Rattus norvegicus: one gene and its partners. The protein of the gene in region 1 binds, or shares a complex with, the protein of each later gene. Links are inferred from orthologs where the notes say so. Each region holds a gene or a part of one and is shown in the gene's direction. Other genes may lie near its edges. The genes, in order: Calcr, Ramp2 and Ramp3.

The links.
Region 2: the proteins of Calcr (region 1) and Ramp2 are in contact, whole or in part, in a cryo-EM structure (PDB 7TYX), measured with the Homo sapiens proteins. The link is inferred for Rattus norvegicus from reciprocal best matches to the Homo sapiens genes CALCR and RAMP2. Residues at the interface, in NP_001158210.1 of Homo sapiens: Arg45, Lys46, Met48, Met49, Asp50, Gln52, Tyr53, Lys54, Tyr56, Asp57, Met59, Gln60, Trp76, Gly78, Arg126, Phe235, Leu238, Ile242, Thr246, Val250, Glu255, Lys256, Gln257, Arg258, Trp261, Tyr262, Leu264, Leu265, Phe269, Pro273; in NP_005845.2 of Homo sapiens: Trp86, Tyr93, Ser94, Arg97, Asp98, Glu101, Leu109, Pro112, Glu117, Ile120, Phe121, His124, Phe128, Cys131, Pro136, Phe138, Ser139, Asp140, Pro141, Leu146, Met149, Ile150, Pro153, Ile154, Leu156, Ile157, Leu160, Ile161, Leu163, Val164.
Region 3: the proteins of Calcr (region 1) and Ramp3 are in contact, whole or in part, in a cryo-EM structure (PDB 8F0K), measured with the Homo sapiens proteins. The link is inferred for Rattus norvegicus from reciprocal best matches to the Homo sapiens genes CALCR and RAMP3. Residues at the interface, in NP_001158210.1 of Homo sapiens: Arg45, Lys46, Met49, Asp50, Gln52, Tyr53, Lys54, Tyr56, Asp57, Met59, Gln60, Arg74, Thr75, Trp76, Asp77, Gly78, Asn124, Arg126, Phe235, Leu238, Ile242, Thr246, Gln257, Arg258, Trp261, Tyr262, Leu264, Leu265, Phe269, Ile276; in NP_005847.1 of Homo sapiens: Cys57, Leu59, Ile63, Tyr66, Glu67, Thr70, Tyr83, Trp84, Pro85, Gln90, Ile93, Thr94, His97, Arg98, Phe101, Ser102, Cys104, Val106, His110, Leu111, Glu112, Asp113, Pro114, Val118, Leu119, Leu122, Ile123, Pro126, Val127, Leu129.

The regions. Positions count from the first base shown.
Region 1 is NC_086022.1:32,641,590-32,646,865, reverse strand, and holds part of Calcr (calcitonin receptor isoform 1a precursor), read left to right. Parts: intron 1-2,258; coding exon 2,259-2,412; intron 2,413-3,756; coding exon 3,757-3,867; intron 3,868-5,276. UniProt on the Homo sapiens protein: G protein-coupled receptor activated by ligand peptides amylin (IAPP), calcitonin (CT/CALCA) and calcitonin gene-related peptide type 1 (CGRP1/CALCA).
Region 2 is NC_086028.1:86,686,710-86,692,158, forward strand, and holds Ramp2 (receptor activity-modifying protein 2 precursor), read left to right. Parts: upstream 1-2,438; 5' UTR 2,439-2,478; coding exon 2,479-2,602; intron 2,603-3,076; coding exon 3,077-3,142; intron 3,143-3,580; coding exon 3,581-3,683; intron 3,684-3,813; coding exon 3,814-4,069; 3' UTR 4,070-4,247; downstream 4,248-5,449. UniProt on the Homo sapiens protein: Accessory protein that interacts with and modulates the function of G-protein coupled receptors including calcitonin gene-related peptide type 1 receptor (CALCRL) and calcitonin receptor (CALCR). Required for the transport of CALCRL to the plasma membrane.
Region 3 is NC_086032.1:85,739,309-85,745,138, forward strand, and holds the start of Ramp3 (receptor activity-modifying protein 3 precursor), read left to right. Parts: upstream 1-2,005; 5' UTR 2,006-2,037; coding exon 2,038-2,092; intron 2,093-5,830. UniProt on the Homo sapiens protein: Accessory protein that interacts with and modulates the function of G-protein coupled receptors including calcitonin gene-related peptide type 1 receptor (CALCRL), calcitonin receptor (CALCR) and G-protein coupled estrogen receptor 1 (GPER1).

The DNA.
Region 1 (5,276 bases):
TCCAAATAGATAAACTTTGACTATCTATCCCACAAGAGCAATGCCATCCTCCCTTCTTTAATGGTTCAGTCATATCAATTTAGACGTTTTAAATATAATCACATACTTCCTTACAAATGTGAGCAAATTAGATATTAAAACACAAACACAAATAAGGAATCTCTTTTTAAAAAAGTAAAATAGAAAAATGTAAGCTGAACAAAAACACATTCTAATTTCTAATGGTATATCTGAGAATGTCCTGCAGGGAGATGATTGTTCATGGTGTCTCTGGTCAGGAGTGTCTCTTCCTAGACAGTTAGGTCCACAGAAGCAGGATTCACACCTGTTTGCTTCAGGACTTCATCCTCAGGAATGTTTGGCTTGCCCAGTTCAGTAACCATTTCTCTCTGAAAATCAGTGAGAAATGAGTCTTCACAGGGAGCTGCGTTTTGTGACGTGGTTAAAGGGGCTGCACACGTTTATTTGACCAGGGTCATCCATTTCTCTGCTGTAATAAATTTAAGATACATTAAATACCAAGTAATCAATATTCAAATTGTAGGAGTGTTATAACGGTTAGAAGTATCCACCGTCTTCACCATATAAACAGTTTCTACCCAACTAACTTGTGGGCATGTCTAAACCAGTGCTCACCTTCCCCCACACAGATTTTAATTTGACCCCATATTGCTTCCTCCAGAAATCACCCTTTTTTTCAGAAGTGTGGACCAAATATCTATGCCCTTTGGGCATCACTACTCCCAGTCCTTATATTGAGATATGTCTTCATCTCTCCACTGCATGGCAAAGTGTCGAGAGCTGTGTTCTCTTATTCTACCATGGGGTGCTATGGCCCAGACATTCAATTTCCAGCCTCCCCTCTCCCCACGACCTTTGAATTGTGGAGATCTATGCTGCTGAATGAACATTGCTATAATTCTGCCTTCCAAACCTTAATTGATCAAAATATGTAATGGGTTTTTTTAAATTTTTTTGGTATTTCAGAAATATGCAATATCTGTTTTCTTCAACTCCTTACCTATCCTAAACTATACTCCCCTTTGTCATGATGATGTCACCACAGTGTCATAGCAGTCCCTGAACATTAGTGTGGCTTTTCCCTCTACACAGCCTTTCTTCTCTTCTCTAGATCCCTCCAGAAACCCAAGATCCCATTCAAATTCTTCTATGTATCTGTAACTGTCATGAAATATTTTTACCCCAGATCCTTTCCCTATTCTGAATTTTGTACTATACATCTTCACATTGATGACATGTTATTGCAGGGTCGGACATAGTGGGAGACACAGAATCAGAGATATTTGAGCACGAAGCTCAACAAATAAATAAGCTTTATTCCTAATGTGGCTGGCACTACTAAGATGCACACCGGGTGTGTCAACTGAGAAAACGGAACTCTTGATTACAAGCGAGAAGAGACAGTATAGTGATGATCACCTCACTCGTACACACATGTCCAAACACACAACTTATGGGAAGCAAAGACCTGCAGATGGTGACTGAGTAGAAAGGCAATGTCAACTTGTTCTGAAACCCGATGTACCAATATAAACATTGAAGAGTTATATTTGCTTTGTTCACTGAATATGAATTACAATGTGTAAGTCAAGTGCCACTTTGAAGAACTTAAAGTCAATTATTTTCTTTGATCCGAGGGATGCACAAGGCAAATTTTGGCAGAGTACACAAACCACACCTGAGCAAAACCTAGCTGAAGATGTCCACTAAAGAAGCATGTTTTTCCTGTAATTTCTATGTTTTTAAATGTGCAACCCATGATTCTTAAGATTTACAAAGATGGAAAAGTTGGTCTAAAATGGAGATGTTTCGAAAATCAAATTATTTGCCCCGTTTATGTGTAGACTTTCCAAAGAAAATAAATTAAAACCATAGGAGATTATTAAGATGTGTGTGAGTGGGCTGGAGAGATGGCTCAGCCGTTAAAGGCTAGGCTCACAACCAAAACTATAAGATGTGTGTGAGTGTGTATGATTGCTCTACATTCTCAATAGCAACTGTACATTGATACAAGTATAAGTGGGTAGAATATGAATGTTAAATGAACTGTACATTGATACAAGTATAAGTGGGTAGAATATGAATGTTAAACATGATGCATTTTCATTATAGAATATTTTATGTAAAGTTCTACATAAATGTTGCTTACAGAGAAAAGAAATGTTTTTGTATTTTTTACAATTAGCACATTTATATTTTTGTGTTAAGTCATTTCCTTCTCTGTACCTTTTATACAGAGCCCTACTCCAGTTCTTCAGGCTCCTACCAATCTCACTGACTCCGGCCTTGATCAGGAGCCATTCCTGTACTTGGTTGGACGCAAGAAGCTTCTGGATGCTCAGTACAAGTGCTATGACCGGATTCAGCAGTTGCCCCCTTATGAGGGAGAAGGTAAAAGAAACATGTGAACCTACGTGTGTAGCATCATTTAAGTCGGTTTCTTCCCAAGGCATCAATAGTAGTGAGTAGTTGAAATGGAATAGATCTACAGTCTCACATTATGCTGTGCGTGTGTGTTTTGTTCAGTACATATGATTATTCCCCTCCTATATAGAATAGCATTTTGGCTGACATTAGCCCTTATGACAAAATTACCTCAATAAATCAGCATTCACACCTAATAAGGAGGAACAGTACAGGACTGAGCGACAGCAGAGAAATGCAAAGCGATTGGCAGGGCATCTGCCTGAGGCAGAATCTGTGCAAACTCTGTCTTGTTTGGATTCATTAGGTGTATCTTTCCTTCAAATGCCAATTCATTGACAACCTCTGATAATTCTTCTCTCTCATTACCGCATCGCCAGTCTGTGGGGAATGGCCTCAGTAAGCATAGTTAATCTGTGCTCTTTTCTAGAGTAATCTTTGTAGCCCAAATACTTTCAGGGCTAAGTATAGTTTACTTTCTGTAGAAGTCCCAGAGAAGAAAAGGAAAAGAAAAACTGTGTGATAGGAGAGCATTGGCACAGCCTTTTCAATCCTCCTCCATGTCTCTGACCCATCTTCGAAGACTGAATAAGACTTTTAGGTAGCCTTGAACACTGTAAGACAAAGCTTAGAAAGGTGGAAAATGGTGAAATAATGCTCTAGTGATAACTAAAAAAGATTTATCAGATGCAGCACAATGATATGCTCTATTAAATTAGAAAATATATTATCCCTATGTAAATATATTTCAGATTTTAGAGGAGTCGATCTGTATTATCAGTTCTGATAAATAATCCCACAGATGAATTTTTCTTCACTGCTATGAAGGTAAAGGTAGAAAATGTGCCTCACCTTACGTGAACTATAAGTATTACAATTTAAATTCAACTTCTTGGTTGAATATTTTGAAAAGGGTAAAATTTTCAATAAACAAAAACTTAACAACATACCTCAGAGCCTGTTCGATTTTTTTTTGTTTGTTTGTGAGCTAAATTTTCGATCTCCTCTACAATTAAATAAATGGACAGAAGTGCATTGTTTGGAGCTGCTCGCCTTATGAGAAGCCCAACCTCAGAGCCTCTTACAAAGCTAAAACAAGAACCCTGCCTGCCCTCCAATGAGATTTTCCCCCACAGATATACCAACATCCTTTGAATGTTTATTTCAAAAGAAAATTAACGAGAATGGCTCACTTGAAATACAATTAGTCTTGACTGAAGCGATAGGATCCAACCTCTCTGATCTCCTCAGAAAACAATCTCCTTCACACAAGCCACGTGTTTCAGTGCAAGTTTCTTCCCGCATCCCCAGGTCCATATTGCAACCGAACTTGGGATGGATGGATGTGCTGGGACGACACTCCAGCTGGTGTAATGTCCTATCAGCACTGCCCTGACTACTTTCCGGACTTTGACCCAACAGGTACGGGCTTTAGTTTCATTTTATGTTTTTGCTATGAATTTTAAAAAATGTGTTAAATATACAAGTGGACACAAAATCTACTTCAGCTATTGAAGTTACATAACGGTGTGTCGCACCAAACATCACCTTCCACATTGCAAAGCATTTTTCATATTTATTATTTCATTTCAAACTGACAATATTTAACATCATACTGCAAGGGAATCCACTCAGTACACGATGTCGAGATCTACTGGAACACATTCGCTAACCTTTATGAGAGGGCACATTGTCTTTTCAGGGCTTCACCCCATCACACAGGTATCGTTAGACACCAACCTGGAATGCTCGAGGAGGACAGTCTAGGAGGGTCAGGTTCTGGGTGGTATGAAATTTAAAAGGCCGATGTCATTTATTTTAGAGTCTTCACGTATACAAGTGTGGAGGTCTAGGGCTGAGGCAGTTCCGCGATGAATACTCAGGAGTGGTGCAAAGGTGTGCAGATAGATTACCAGCCTCAATACAGTAGACAGAGAGGTGTGAGAAGGAAATGGGATTTGGTAATTTTAATTAATAAAAGGTGGGGGAAAATCCTGGTATAGACACGATCAAGGCTTGCCAGGCTCAAATAACGGTACTGAACAGTGGACCTTTAGGGAGCAGAGCACCAGGTGCACCTGGTAAGAAGAGGTCTATTGGGTGTAGCTGCTCACTACAAGATCTGCCTGATCAGATCCAGAAAAATCTTACTCAGACACCCTAGAAGAAAAAAAAATCTCTCCCATTAAGTTAAATCTAGAAGATACTGAAAAGGCTAAATAAGCCTTAATTAGAACCAATGCCCAGATGATGAAACTAAAGATCAGCTACAGACACACTATGTAAGTCTCTAGAAGAAGATAATATTGTTTTCCAAGGGTCATATGATCTGACCTGGCCACAGGTGTTTAAGTGTCTCTGGAATTCCCATAAGAGCAATATATAAGCCCTTCACCGAGACAAGGCTTGGGAGATACTTTGAGGGCTCCCTTGAGGAAATTTCTCACTTATTATTGAAGTCAAAATCCTAACCCAGAACAACAGAGATAATCAAAGTTTAATTGCAAGAAATTCTTTTTAAACCAATGCAAAATAAAATAAATGTCAGTGTTGGCCAAACACTTCTAGAAATCTCCTTCTGAAGGGTGGCATAGGCAGAATGGGCTTTGTATGGTGCCCTTACTTTGAGCTACATTCCTATAAATTGGAACCAAAATGCTCCATAATGAGAATCCTTCAGGCCTTTATTACCTCTTCCCAACACATGCTGCCTCATTTATCTTGATCTGTCATTGCACTGAAGGTAAGTTGACCAGCACAAAAATCTTTCCTACAATAGAGATCTGCTAGGCCATTTGAAAGTGGCAATGGGCTTTTGCCAAAGTAGCTAT
Region 2 (5,449 bases), on another chromosome or scaffold:
TCACATTTGCTTTTGTCCCCTTTAACTTTGGCCCTGACTGCAGCCCCAGCACACAGTGGGCTCTGGTGCTTCTGGTCCCTCGGAGTGGAAATGTCTTCTGTTTCCTTTCCGCTTCTCCTGACTCACCTCTCAACCTTTCTTCCTAGCTTCCTTCCTCTCAATCTCATGACCTGGACACCTCCTCCTTGGCCAAATGTCCTTCTCGACAAGGGCAGTGCTGGGCTGGGAAGGAGCTCAGTGGATAGAGGGCTTGCCTGGCACGCTTAAGGCCCTGCGTTTTATCCTCGGCATAACATCAACTGGGTGTGGCTGTGAACTCTTGTGATCCCAATACTCAAAAAGTGGAGCGGGTAGATCACAAATTCAAGGTCTTCCCTGGCTATGTTGAGGCAAACTGGAGCTTCGTGAGATACTGATCCAGAAGGAAGGAAGAAGGAAGGGAGGGAGGAGACAGAAGGAAGGAAGGGAGGAGAAAGTAAGGAGAGAGGAAGGAAGGAAGGCAGGCAAGCAGCTAGGGAGATCACTTAGTGGTTAAGAGCATTTTTCTGCTCCTGCACAGGAAGACGTTCAGTTCCCAGCACTCATGTGGTTCCCACTCCTTTGTAACTTCAGCTCCAGAGGACCCCCACCCCCCAATACTCTACTCTGGCTTCTTCAGGCACCTGCACACATGTACATACATACATGTGCCCCCCCCAACACACACATATGTACATTGAAAAGCATTTAAGATCTAAAGAAGGAAAGGGTGATTCTTTGAAGAATGGGAGATATAAAGTTTGGTCCCCAGTTTGAAGCGTCTCGGAGGCTACTTGGCTCTCTGCACCTTTGAAGGAACGACCCTTACCAACAGAACTCTGAGGCGTTCAAAGGGCCACCACCACCCCTTATGCTGCCTATAATTAATTAATTCCAGCTGCCTGTCGCCATGATGCAGCTGAGGTCCTGAGATGCTTTTTCTTTTTCTTCTTCTTTTTTTTTTTAAGAGACCATAAAAGATAACTTTGGTGGACTGAGATCAGTAAACTGGGACAACAGCAACAGCTGAGTTCAAGGGTCAATGTCTGGGAGTAATTGGGAAAGTTTTGTGCTGACAGCTGTATGATTGGAATTAAAAAGTGCGATCAAACAAGCCCCTGGGCTAATTCAGGCTAATGGATAGCTGGCCCAATATACAGCAACAGCTGAGTTGTGATAGCTGGCAGGATCCCTGGGGGCCCAGACTGAGCCTCAGGGCTTCCCAGTAAAATTCGACCTTAGCCAAGTTACTCAGGAAAGGGAAAAAAAGAAAACCGGCTTCTGTGGAGTGAGTACAGTCTCTTTCTACAAAGGAGGAGATTCCTCCAGAGCAGAAGGAGAGCAAGGTCTTAATGGTGCATGAGAAACCGATGGCAACTGTAGCGTCCAAGGCCGGGGAGTGGGAAAATAGATTTAGGAACAGAACTTTTCAGTTCGAGTCCTGGGGTCTCTCCTTAATCTTTAGCTGCCTCCTCCTCTATAAAACTGGTGGTGGTAAAAATATGCTTGCCTTGGGGCTGGGTTCCAGCAGCAGCAGCAGCAGCAGCAGCAGCAGCAGCAGCAGCAGCAGCAGCAGCAGCAGCAGCAGCAGCTCACCTCAAACACTAAGTGGCACATTGAAAGTTCTAGTATCAGGGGTTGGGGATTTAGTTCAGTGGTAGAGCGCTTGCCTAGCTAGCGCAAAGCCCTGGGTTCGGTCCCCAGCTCCGAAAAGGAGAAAAAAAGAAAAAAAAAAGTTCTAGTGTCTCCCTTAGTTCTAACAACCTGGGTGGCCATTTTCCTGGAAATGTAGTCATCTTTCTTTTTGCACTCCAATATCAGGTTTGTGGGTGAAGGACCCAGAATTTACATTGAAGGAGGGTTATTTAGATATTACTACCTCCCTACCCTGCTTCCCTGACCGTCTTCTCCCTTTCTCAGTAGGGCCAGGCCCCTCTACTATCCGGATTTTGGCAGACATCAGTGGGTGTTCCCTGGGAAAAGAAAGTGGTGCGGGCGCAGCTCTTGCCGCCACTTCCCACCCAAACCCCTGCCTCAGATACCAAGGCATCGGAGGCCCTTGGAGCTCCCAACCGCCTCCTTCTTCCCCAGGTCTGGGACAGCAGCGGGTCCCCACCCCTCCGGTGCGAGAAGGAGGAAGCGACTGGAATCCCTCGGCTGATGCTGGCAGACTTGAGCTAGTCCGGGATGGGAAGTGGATCCCGGTTCATGGGGTACAGGGGGAGCTGTCCAGCCCCGCGGTCCGAGCTGGAAGCGAGAGTGGGCCAAGGCAATCCAGGCCGAGTGAATTACGGGTGCGGCAGTGACTCCCTCTGCAGCCCGCCCCCCACGTGGCCGCCGCCGTGCCAGCCCCTCCGAGGAAGCGGCGCGGCTTCCTGCGGCTGGGGCCCGGGATATAGGCGCCCCCGCCCGGGCCAGCTCAGCTCCGCCGCCCCTCCTCGCCATCTCGCCCAAGGCGTGATGGCTCCGCTCCGGGTAGAGCGCGCCCCGGGTGGATCACAGCTCGCTGTGACCAGCGCCCAGCGGCCCGCAGCGCTCCGCCTCCCTCCGCTGTTACTGCTGCTGTTGCTGCTGCTGCTGGGCGGTGAGCACAGCGTTGGGGCCCGGGTGGGAGATGAGGGAGGTCCGGGAGGGGAAGGGGCCTGGGCCATCGAGGCCAGCACGGGACCACCCTGCGAGTGCCAACCGACGTGAGGAGCAGCTCTGACCTGCACATGGGTCCTGAACACATCTCTGGTTTGGCGCAGGCCAGCTACTTAGGCTGCTTCGTACTTAAGAAAAGCTGGGGTGCCTGCTCGGACCCCGCAGAGAAGTCTTAGGAGGTTCAGGACTGACAAAGAGGGAGAGGGCTTTGGACTCGGGAGTGATTGGGACGCATCTGGTACCAGCCGTTCCCTTCCCTCAATAGGACAATCCCATGGGGGAGGAGGGGAGATTATTCTTTTTGTTCCAAAGCAGTGCTGACTTCCCAGGGCCTTGCTCGCTACCCATAAACAGGTACTACTGTTCAGACCTCTCCCCATATCACCCCACCCTTCTGGTTCATTTCTTTATACAGCTGTCTCAACCTCTCCGGAGTCCCTGAATCAATCTCATCCTACTGAGGACAGCCTTCTGTCAAAAGGTGAGTGCCTAAGTCTGAGGGAGAATGACCTAGTGGGAAGGATAAGCCCAGCACGGGGGAGGAGTCCTTTCACAAGACAATCCTAGAACCAACTGATGCCCGCTAACCTCTCTGGTGTCTCTTGGGGTTCCTATGGTCTTCCTCCCTATCATCCCACAAAGCCACAGTCCAGTGCCTTGGCCCAGTTGGCTAGGTAGAGCAAGACTAGGTCTATGTGAATATCTTGCGGGGCTAGACAATATAATTGCCATTGCAGGATTCCCGAGCCACAGAGTTCGGGGAGAGAATGCTCCTCTCGGCCACAAGTGTCCTGCTAGGGAGATTTTCAGAGGGATTCCCTTCTCTAAAGGCAGAAGACTGTACTCTGGAAATACCTGGATCAGAAGGCTCGGAGGGAGGGCCAGGGGTGTGGTCATTGGGAAGCCTCTGTCCCCACAGGGAAGATGGAGGACTACGAAACAAATGTCCTACCTTGCTGGTATTATTACAAGACTTCCATGGACTCTGTCAAGGACTGGTGCAACTGGACTTTGATTAGCAGGTAGGGGCAGTGTTGAAGGAGGATGGCTCAGGCCAGGAGTTGGATCTGACCTTTGTGGGTGGGGGGTGGGGGGTCATCCTTCTCCCTGGACCCAATCCTTCCCTCACTCGAATCCCCTACTGCTCTCCAGGTATTACAGCAACCTGCGGTATTGCTTGGAGTACGAGGCAGACAAGTTTGGCCTGGGCTTCCCAAATCCCTTGGCAGAAAGTATCATCCTTGAGGCTCACCTGATACACTTTGCCAACTGCTCCTTGGTGCAGCCTACCTTCTCCGATCCCCCAGAGGATGTGCTTCTGGCCATGATCATAGCCCCCATCTGCCTCATCCCTTTCCTCGTTACGCTTGTGGTGTGGAGGAGTAAAGACGGCGATGCGCAGGCGTAGGCTCCGCCTCTCAGCAGCCATCTTTTCCCTGTACCCTGCTGGAACCAGGATCTCTCCTCCCCTCCCTACCCACTTACTCCCATCCTTCCCACAGACCTTCGGATTGGTGGAAATGGAAGAAAGGGGAACTGATAGCACAATGTCCGTCGTCTTTAAAATAAAATATGTTTTTGTACAATCGTCCCTTCCTAGTGGGGTCTGTGTAGATGATAGTCCTACGGGGCATCATTACTGGGCAACGGAGCTTGAAGACGACCCTGCTGTTCAGTTCATTTCACCTGCCCTCCGCTTCCACATGAAGGCCATGTTCCTATACTCTTTCCTCCCAGGGAGAGGCCTTTCCTGCAGCTATCCAAACCCAGCTCCAGGAAATGAGCAGGAAGAGACTCCCTTCCGGTCTGGACAACAGCTGGGGGCCTGTGGTTGGGAAGGTGTGGGAGGAGGGGCAAGAAACCTCTACAATAACCCCTGCAAGGAAAAAAGGCTACCCAGGAGCCCAGCTTTGCCTTCTTCGCCTCAGTTTACTCTACAGCCAGAAAGAAGAAATATGATTACCAATAGGAATTTGTCCATCAGCGTCTCAGGCTTGAGGCCCAAGGCAACGGGGGCTTCCTTTACCGGATTCTACTGTTCCCCTTTATGTTCCTGGCCTTCATCCCACATTGTCTAAGAGATCCATCATGGCCACACACTGCCCCCTGGTGTCCACTAAAACCAACAACCAGACAATGTATAAAACCTGGAACAGGTTCCAGGCTGAGAAACACTGGACCCTGGGGTTCAGAAACGTTATTTCCATTACAACCTAGTTGTTAGCCAGGCTCTTCTATTAGCTTTTTTGAGAAATATGGCTATGATATTCTATTAACATATCTGCTTCTCTGCAACTCACCATTTCCGTGTATGAACTGTTTCCCGGGCAGGGAAGATTAGTTCTCCTCACCGGGAAACTCTCATGTCCAATACTTCTGGGCTACACTTGTCGGGTCCTCCCACACACAGGCAAAGCAACTTTGCTTTATGTGAAAACACCTGATTACCTTTTGCAGCCCTCTTTTTTTTTTCCGGAGCTGGGGACCGAACCCAGGGCCTTGTGCTTGCTAGGCAAGCGCTCTACCACTGAGCTAAATCCCCAATCCCTTTTGCAGCCCTCTTAACCTCTTCAGAGGCTTCTGTTCTCCCTGCTGAAATATCTGCTTGCCAAATATGTGCATGTCTCTTCCCTGGCACATGCTTATCTGTTTTGTAGATAGATGTCTGCATTTCTTGGAACCTTCCTATGTGTTGTCAAAGATATACTCCTCTCAGGCCATATCTGTCACCAAAGGGATTTCGTTTTGTTTTTTGCAGACAAGGTTTCTCTGTGTAGCCCTGGCTATC
Region 3 (5,830 bases), on another chromosome or scaffold:
CCTGTGCTAAGTCAACTTGTGGTAATAGCTCCCCTCCACCCACTCTGTCGCTGGGAGGCCATGGGCTGAGAAGGAAGGCGGAAGGCAGAAGGCTCTGCTTTGCAGGTGTGACACAGGCTGCTTCTCAGCAGGAACAGAGGCCTTTGGGGTGTGCCACGGGGATGGGCAGCCCTGTATAGCTGAGGTGTTGGGAATAAGGTTTCCCCACAGCAGAACCAGTGAGCACTTCCTGCACAGGCCACGGAGGCAACCTCAGCCGCCCTGAGCTGGTGCCCACCTGAGGTACAGAATCTGCCTCCCCATCTCTGTCTTCAGGTTGTGAGACAATCAACCCAAACTTCCTCTGTGAGAGCAACTTGCTGGTTAGCCTTTGTGTCCTGATTAGTGTCCCCCACCCCTTAGCACGGGGGAGGGGATCATGACCTAGATGTTTGGCCCCTCTAGACCTGTCCTGCACCTCTTTAGGCTGAAGCAGGATGACTGACCAAGTTAAATCAATTTTAATCTCAATTAAACTCCTTTGTTGTTGTAGCAAGCCTAGGTTTTCTAGGCTTCCCATGCTAACTGGCTTTTAAAAAAATGTTATCATTATTATTATTTTTTTTCTTTTTTCTTTTTTTCGGAGCTGGGAACCGAACCCAGGGCCTTGCGCTTGCTAGGCAAGCGCTCTACCACTGAGCTAAATCCCCAACCCCATCATTATTATTTTTTAATCTTTAAGATTCACTTAGTTTATGTGTATGAGGGGTGCACAATGTGCGTGCAGCACCCTCAGAGGCCAGGACAGGGAGAACTGGTCGTCCTGTGGAGCTGGAGTTACAGATGACCATGAGCTACTGCTACTACTTGTGGGAACCGAACCCAGGTCCTCTGCAAGCGTCCTTAACCACTGTGGCCTCTCTTCAGTAGTCCTAAATTAGTTACACGTTTTTGTTTGTTTGCTTGTTTGTTTTTCAAATTTCAAACATTCTCTCCCTTGAGTCGATTCTGGCTTCGACCAGAATTTTCTCAGTGAAAATTCACAGAAAGTTGTAGTGAGCCTTTCTAGGTCAGGAAAGGCCAGCCTAGACGGGCGTGCTCATCCAGGTGGGGAAGCCATCTCCCCAGGTCTGTGCCTTAGCTCTCAGACCAGCATGTGCTCTCTAGAGGGGCAATACACTTCGCTCCGGAAGGACAAAGAGTTCCGCTTTTCTCTTTCTGAGGAGTGGTCCCAACATCGGGAACAGGAAGGTGTCCTGGGGCCGAGGGACAGATCAAGGACAGACCATGATCTGTTCTGGTTAAGTGACCGATGGTGGAGAAATTGAAGCCTTTTCTCTTCTTCCTACCTGACGCTTCTAGAAGCCAGGTCCTCGAAGGCCCCACTCACTGACCTGCCTGCCCTCAGTTTGCTTCAGATGTAGCCATTTGCGTTTGCATGTGTGCACACTTAAGTTCCCCTCCTCGCTGCCTCCGTCTGGTAGGTCATGCTCCTCATCTTCGGTTTGCTCAGCAACCCACTTCATGCCCTTCCCTGTCCCTTGGAGACAGGGCTCTCAAACTTGTCTCTGCTTAAATATATATGCTTATCTTACAGGGGTCCCATAGGGACCTGAAAGGATGAACCTCTGGTTTCTCCAAGTTCAACCTCTTGTCTATCTCTTGCCTGGCTCCCCTCTATCAACCTGTCCTATGTCCCTTCATTTTCCCAGCTTGCTCCCCAGTTTGACGCTAAGGTCTGTAACCAGTTCATCCCCAGCCAAAACTGCAGTTTTCCGGTCAGAACCCCTTTCCTAGTCCGGCCACTCAACTGCACTTGCCTTTCCTCTGTTCCAGTCCAGATCCCAACGCTACGCTCCCCTCCGGCACCCCCACTTCCCCCCAAACTCTTCCATCCCCACCTGCCTCTCTAGAAAAAAGCTGAGGATTCTAGGCAGCCGCGAGAGTCAGAGGAGTCGGGGCGTGGCCTGGGCGGGGCTCTCCGAGGTTCCGCCTTGGTCCCGCCCCAAGTCTCTTACCTCTGCTTGTTGCTGTAAGCCGAGTGCATCTTAGCTGGCCATGGCGACCCCGGCACAGCGGCTGCACCTTCTCCCTCTGTTGCTGCTGCTTTGTGGTAAGGAGACATTTGGGTTTGGGACACTCCATCTCCTCGGGGCCTTGGGACCCATGCGGACTCTCTCCTTCCCGCATCGAGCCTAAGCTGCGCTCTCTCTTTTACCAGAGTTTGGAAAGGACGCAGGCACGCTAGCTCAAGCGCGCATCTGCAGGTTTTGTGGAGGGTCTTCATAACACCTCGGACCTTAGAGGAGCCAAAGGAAAAGGCCTTGGGTTGCTAGGGATGCACAAGGTTCCCGGCGGGGCTGCGATGTCGTGGCATCTAGGGAAAGGTCTTTGGTGAGGTAGTGAGCTTCCCGTGCAGCTGGCTAGAATCCTTTTCCAGTGAGAAAAATTGGACTCAGGGAGAAACATTGCTCTCACAAGATATAAATGGGACAAATATTAAGCTTGTTTTGAAAGGGGTGTGGAGGGCATAAAGTTAGTAGGGAGACATATTAAGGGAGCCCGAGGGAGGGAGCTTAATGGGGTGCGGACAGTAGGGGCGGATATGCTCAAAATGTGTTGTATACATATATAAAATTTCAAAGAATAAAATCATTAAAAAAGAAATACTACAAAAAAAGAAGTATCTTACTGAAGAAGTTACCCAAAGATAAGATTAATAAGAGGGCATGTGTACACGTACGTGTATATGTGTGTGTACGTACATATATGCATGTATCTGTGCCCCTGAGTGTGCATGATTGTATTTGTGTGCCTGTGTGAGCATGCGTGTGCCTGTGTACCTGTGGAAGGGTTTGATGGGAGAGAGCTTGCCAAGAGCTGGAGCGCTGGGCGAGGCCTGGCCAGAACTGGGAGGGAAGCTATTTGCAGGGGTTGGGGGTGGAGGTCTGTATCCAGGGCCATGGCGCCGAGTCCTTTAGGATGTTTCCCTTACTTTCCTGGCTCAGCCTCCTTGGCTGTAAGGCGAAGTTGGACCTGTTTGCAATGTTTCTTCAGTGTCGATGACCTGAGATGCGGTCTGGGAGTTGGGACAGAGTTGGGCCAGACTCAACAATTGGTTCTCTCCCTTCGAAGAGGTCTCTGTTTACAGAGTGAGGCCCTGTTTCATGTTCTACAGAGGGCACCAAGGCTAGGGTAGAGCTTTATGTTGAAGGGCTGGCACTGTGGCCACTTCCAGAAGGCCGTGCAGTGTTTTTGGGATTTTAGCGAAACTCCAACGAAAGGCTCCTCGGTGAGGATTTTGGTTTCTAGAGGAAGGAAGGTCCAGAGTTTATGTTGAGGGAAACCCTGTCTCTCCTGACTGTTTCTAGTGTGGAACTGGGAAGCAACTGCACGAAATCCTAGCAGTCCTGGTCCCCCTTCCCATCCTACTTTGGAAGTGCCCACTGTCGTCCTCACCCAGGGGAGCAGGCTTCTTGGCGGCAGGGCAGGCTCAGCCTTCTCACAGACATGGCTGCTCCGAGTCTGGCCAGCCCAAGAGTCAGAGACGAAGCCCGTCGCACGCAGGCTGGCCAAGGTGGGCTCTGAGCTCGGTCCACCTTCTGGAAGGGAAGAACTGAGCTTCCGAGTGCCTAGTATGCTGACCACCATCTGTGCTTTGTTGACACTGTGATGTCCGGAACTCTAGCCTGCATAGATTTGGGGCCCAGTCATTGCAGAGAGCAGCATCAGGAGAGACATCGCTTCCAAACAATAAAGGTCTGGGCCTGTGGGGCTTCCTCGGAATTCTAAAGTACTCTGCGAGGACACTTTGATACTTCTCAGGATCCTGGGATGAGGAGTCCAGCAGGTGTCTCCTTTTATTTTTATTAATTAATTAATTAATTAATTAATTATATGTATGAATACACTGTTGCTGTCTCCAGACACACCAGAAGAGGGCATCAGATCCCATTACAGATGGCTGTGAGCCACCATGTGGTTGCTGGGATTTGAACTCAGGACCTCTGGAAGAGCAGTCAGTGCTTTAACCACTGAGCCATCTCTCCAGCCCAGCGGGTGTCTCCTTATCGGCTCTTAGCCTCAGTTTCCCTAATTACAGCAGGAGTGCAGCTGCGGAGTGCGCCTGGGTTGACTGGCTTGGGTCAGTTGAGTTCAGGCCAATCACTGTGCTGTGGAGGCAAAATGCTCTCCTGATAAAGAGGAGGGTGCTCCTGGTTCTTACCACCGTGAGGAGAGCACCCCCGGGATCTGTGTGAGCACGCATGTGGTGTGTGTGTGTGAACATGGTGTCCCGATTTTGTCATGAGCTATAGTAATGTGCCGTACACACTCATTTTGAGCGGACAAGCAGTACTGGAGACGTGAGGTCTTGAAGAAGGTGGTTTGTTAAACGCAGAATTTTCAGTATTGGAGCTGCCTTGGAGGTCATTGGCCCATTTCCCATAAGGGAATTCAGGTGGAGAGATAGGGAGAGAACTGCTCTGAGCACATGCGCAGGGGACAGAACAGCCTGGACACCGCAGCCGCCGAGGCCAGCCGCCCATGCCTTTGCGGCCAGTCTGGTTGTGCTCATTCCATGGAGGATGAAAGTGCCTGGTTTCATTTCCAGATGACAAAGGTCCGTTCTCTAGGAAATGCATCTGCCCGGCTGTTTATCATTTCTCGGCATCTGGAAGTCGCCGAGACAAAAGACGCACAGGGCTGAGTGTTCTTTGTTTCGGAACGGAACCATCCGGAATGGATTTCTACGTTGATTCAGTTCCTGAGAACAGTACAGATCAGCCAGCAGCTTGAGTGGTGGCGACTTTCATGGAGTCCCAGGGGTCAGGGGCTTTACTCAAGAGTGCCCTTTTAGCCTTGTATGCATCTGAAATGGTGACGGACTGGGGTCCCCTGGGAGGGCACCGTCTGTGACCTTGTGCCTGTCTAGGGTGGTCCCAGAGCATTTTTGAAACTCTCCTGATCAGGGCGGGGAAGTCAGCAGTTCTGTTCGAGGGTAGCACACAGTCCTCCATGGTACCTCACAGCTGCATGGGACAGACTCTTGCTTTGTCATGCCCTGAGCGGTTCAGGGGTAATCAAGGCTTCTGGGACCAGGCGAAGGTTCTAGAGTTCATTCACAATGACCCTGGGGCTACTTGGAGATACTGGGGTTTTCACATGGCACATGGAGATTTTGGGGTGTGTGGAGATTCTAGAGCATGTGAGCGTTACGGTGTGCAGAGGGGTCTGGGGCACACAGAGGTTCTGGTGGTGGGGGATTTCTGGGGCACATGGAAATTCTGGGGTATGTAAAGCTTCCGGGGTACATTAGAACACTGGAAAACATGGAAACTGGGATACACAGGGATTCAAGGCAGAGCCAGGAGGCAGGCGTGTGGTGAGAGACTCCTCACCCCTTCTTCTTAGGTAGTTGGGTTCGCTTGGCGGAGGGTGGTAAAGTCATGGAGAAATGACTGAGCAAGCCTGTTCTGACCAGACTTGGCGTGCGTACCTGTGTGTGTGTGTGTGTGTGTGTGTGTGTGTGTGTGTGTGTGTGTGTGTGTGATGGAGGGAAGGGAAATCTGTCATCTTTAATCTGCCTCCCAGAATTCTGATTCTTTCTGACATCCAAGGTGAAGAGAAGAAAAGGAAGAGGGAGAGGGAAGGTGACCAAGGGGCAGAATGGAAAAAGGAGGAGGTGGGGGAGGGGGAGAGGGGAGGAAGCCTTGGTGGTCTGGTGGTTGGTCGGCAGGGCAGGCTGAGGGGGCTGTTTTAGGCCCAGATCTTGGAAGGCAAGAGTGGGAATGTGGGTCCCCAGAGTGTGTGAGTGGTGGGGCTCGCCCGCTGTGTCTGGGTGGAGGTCAGT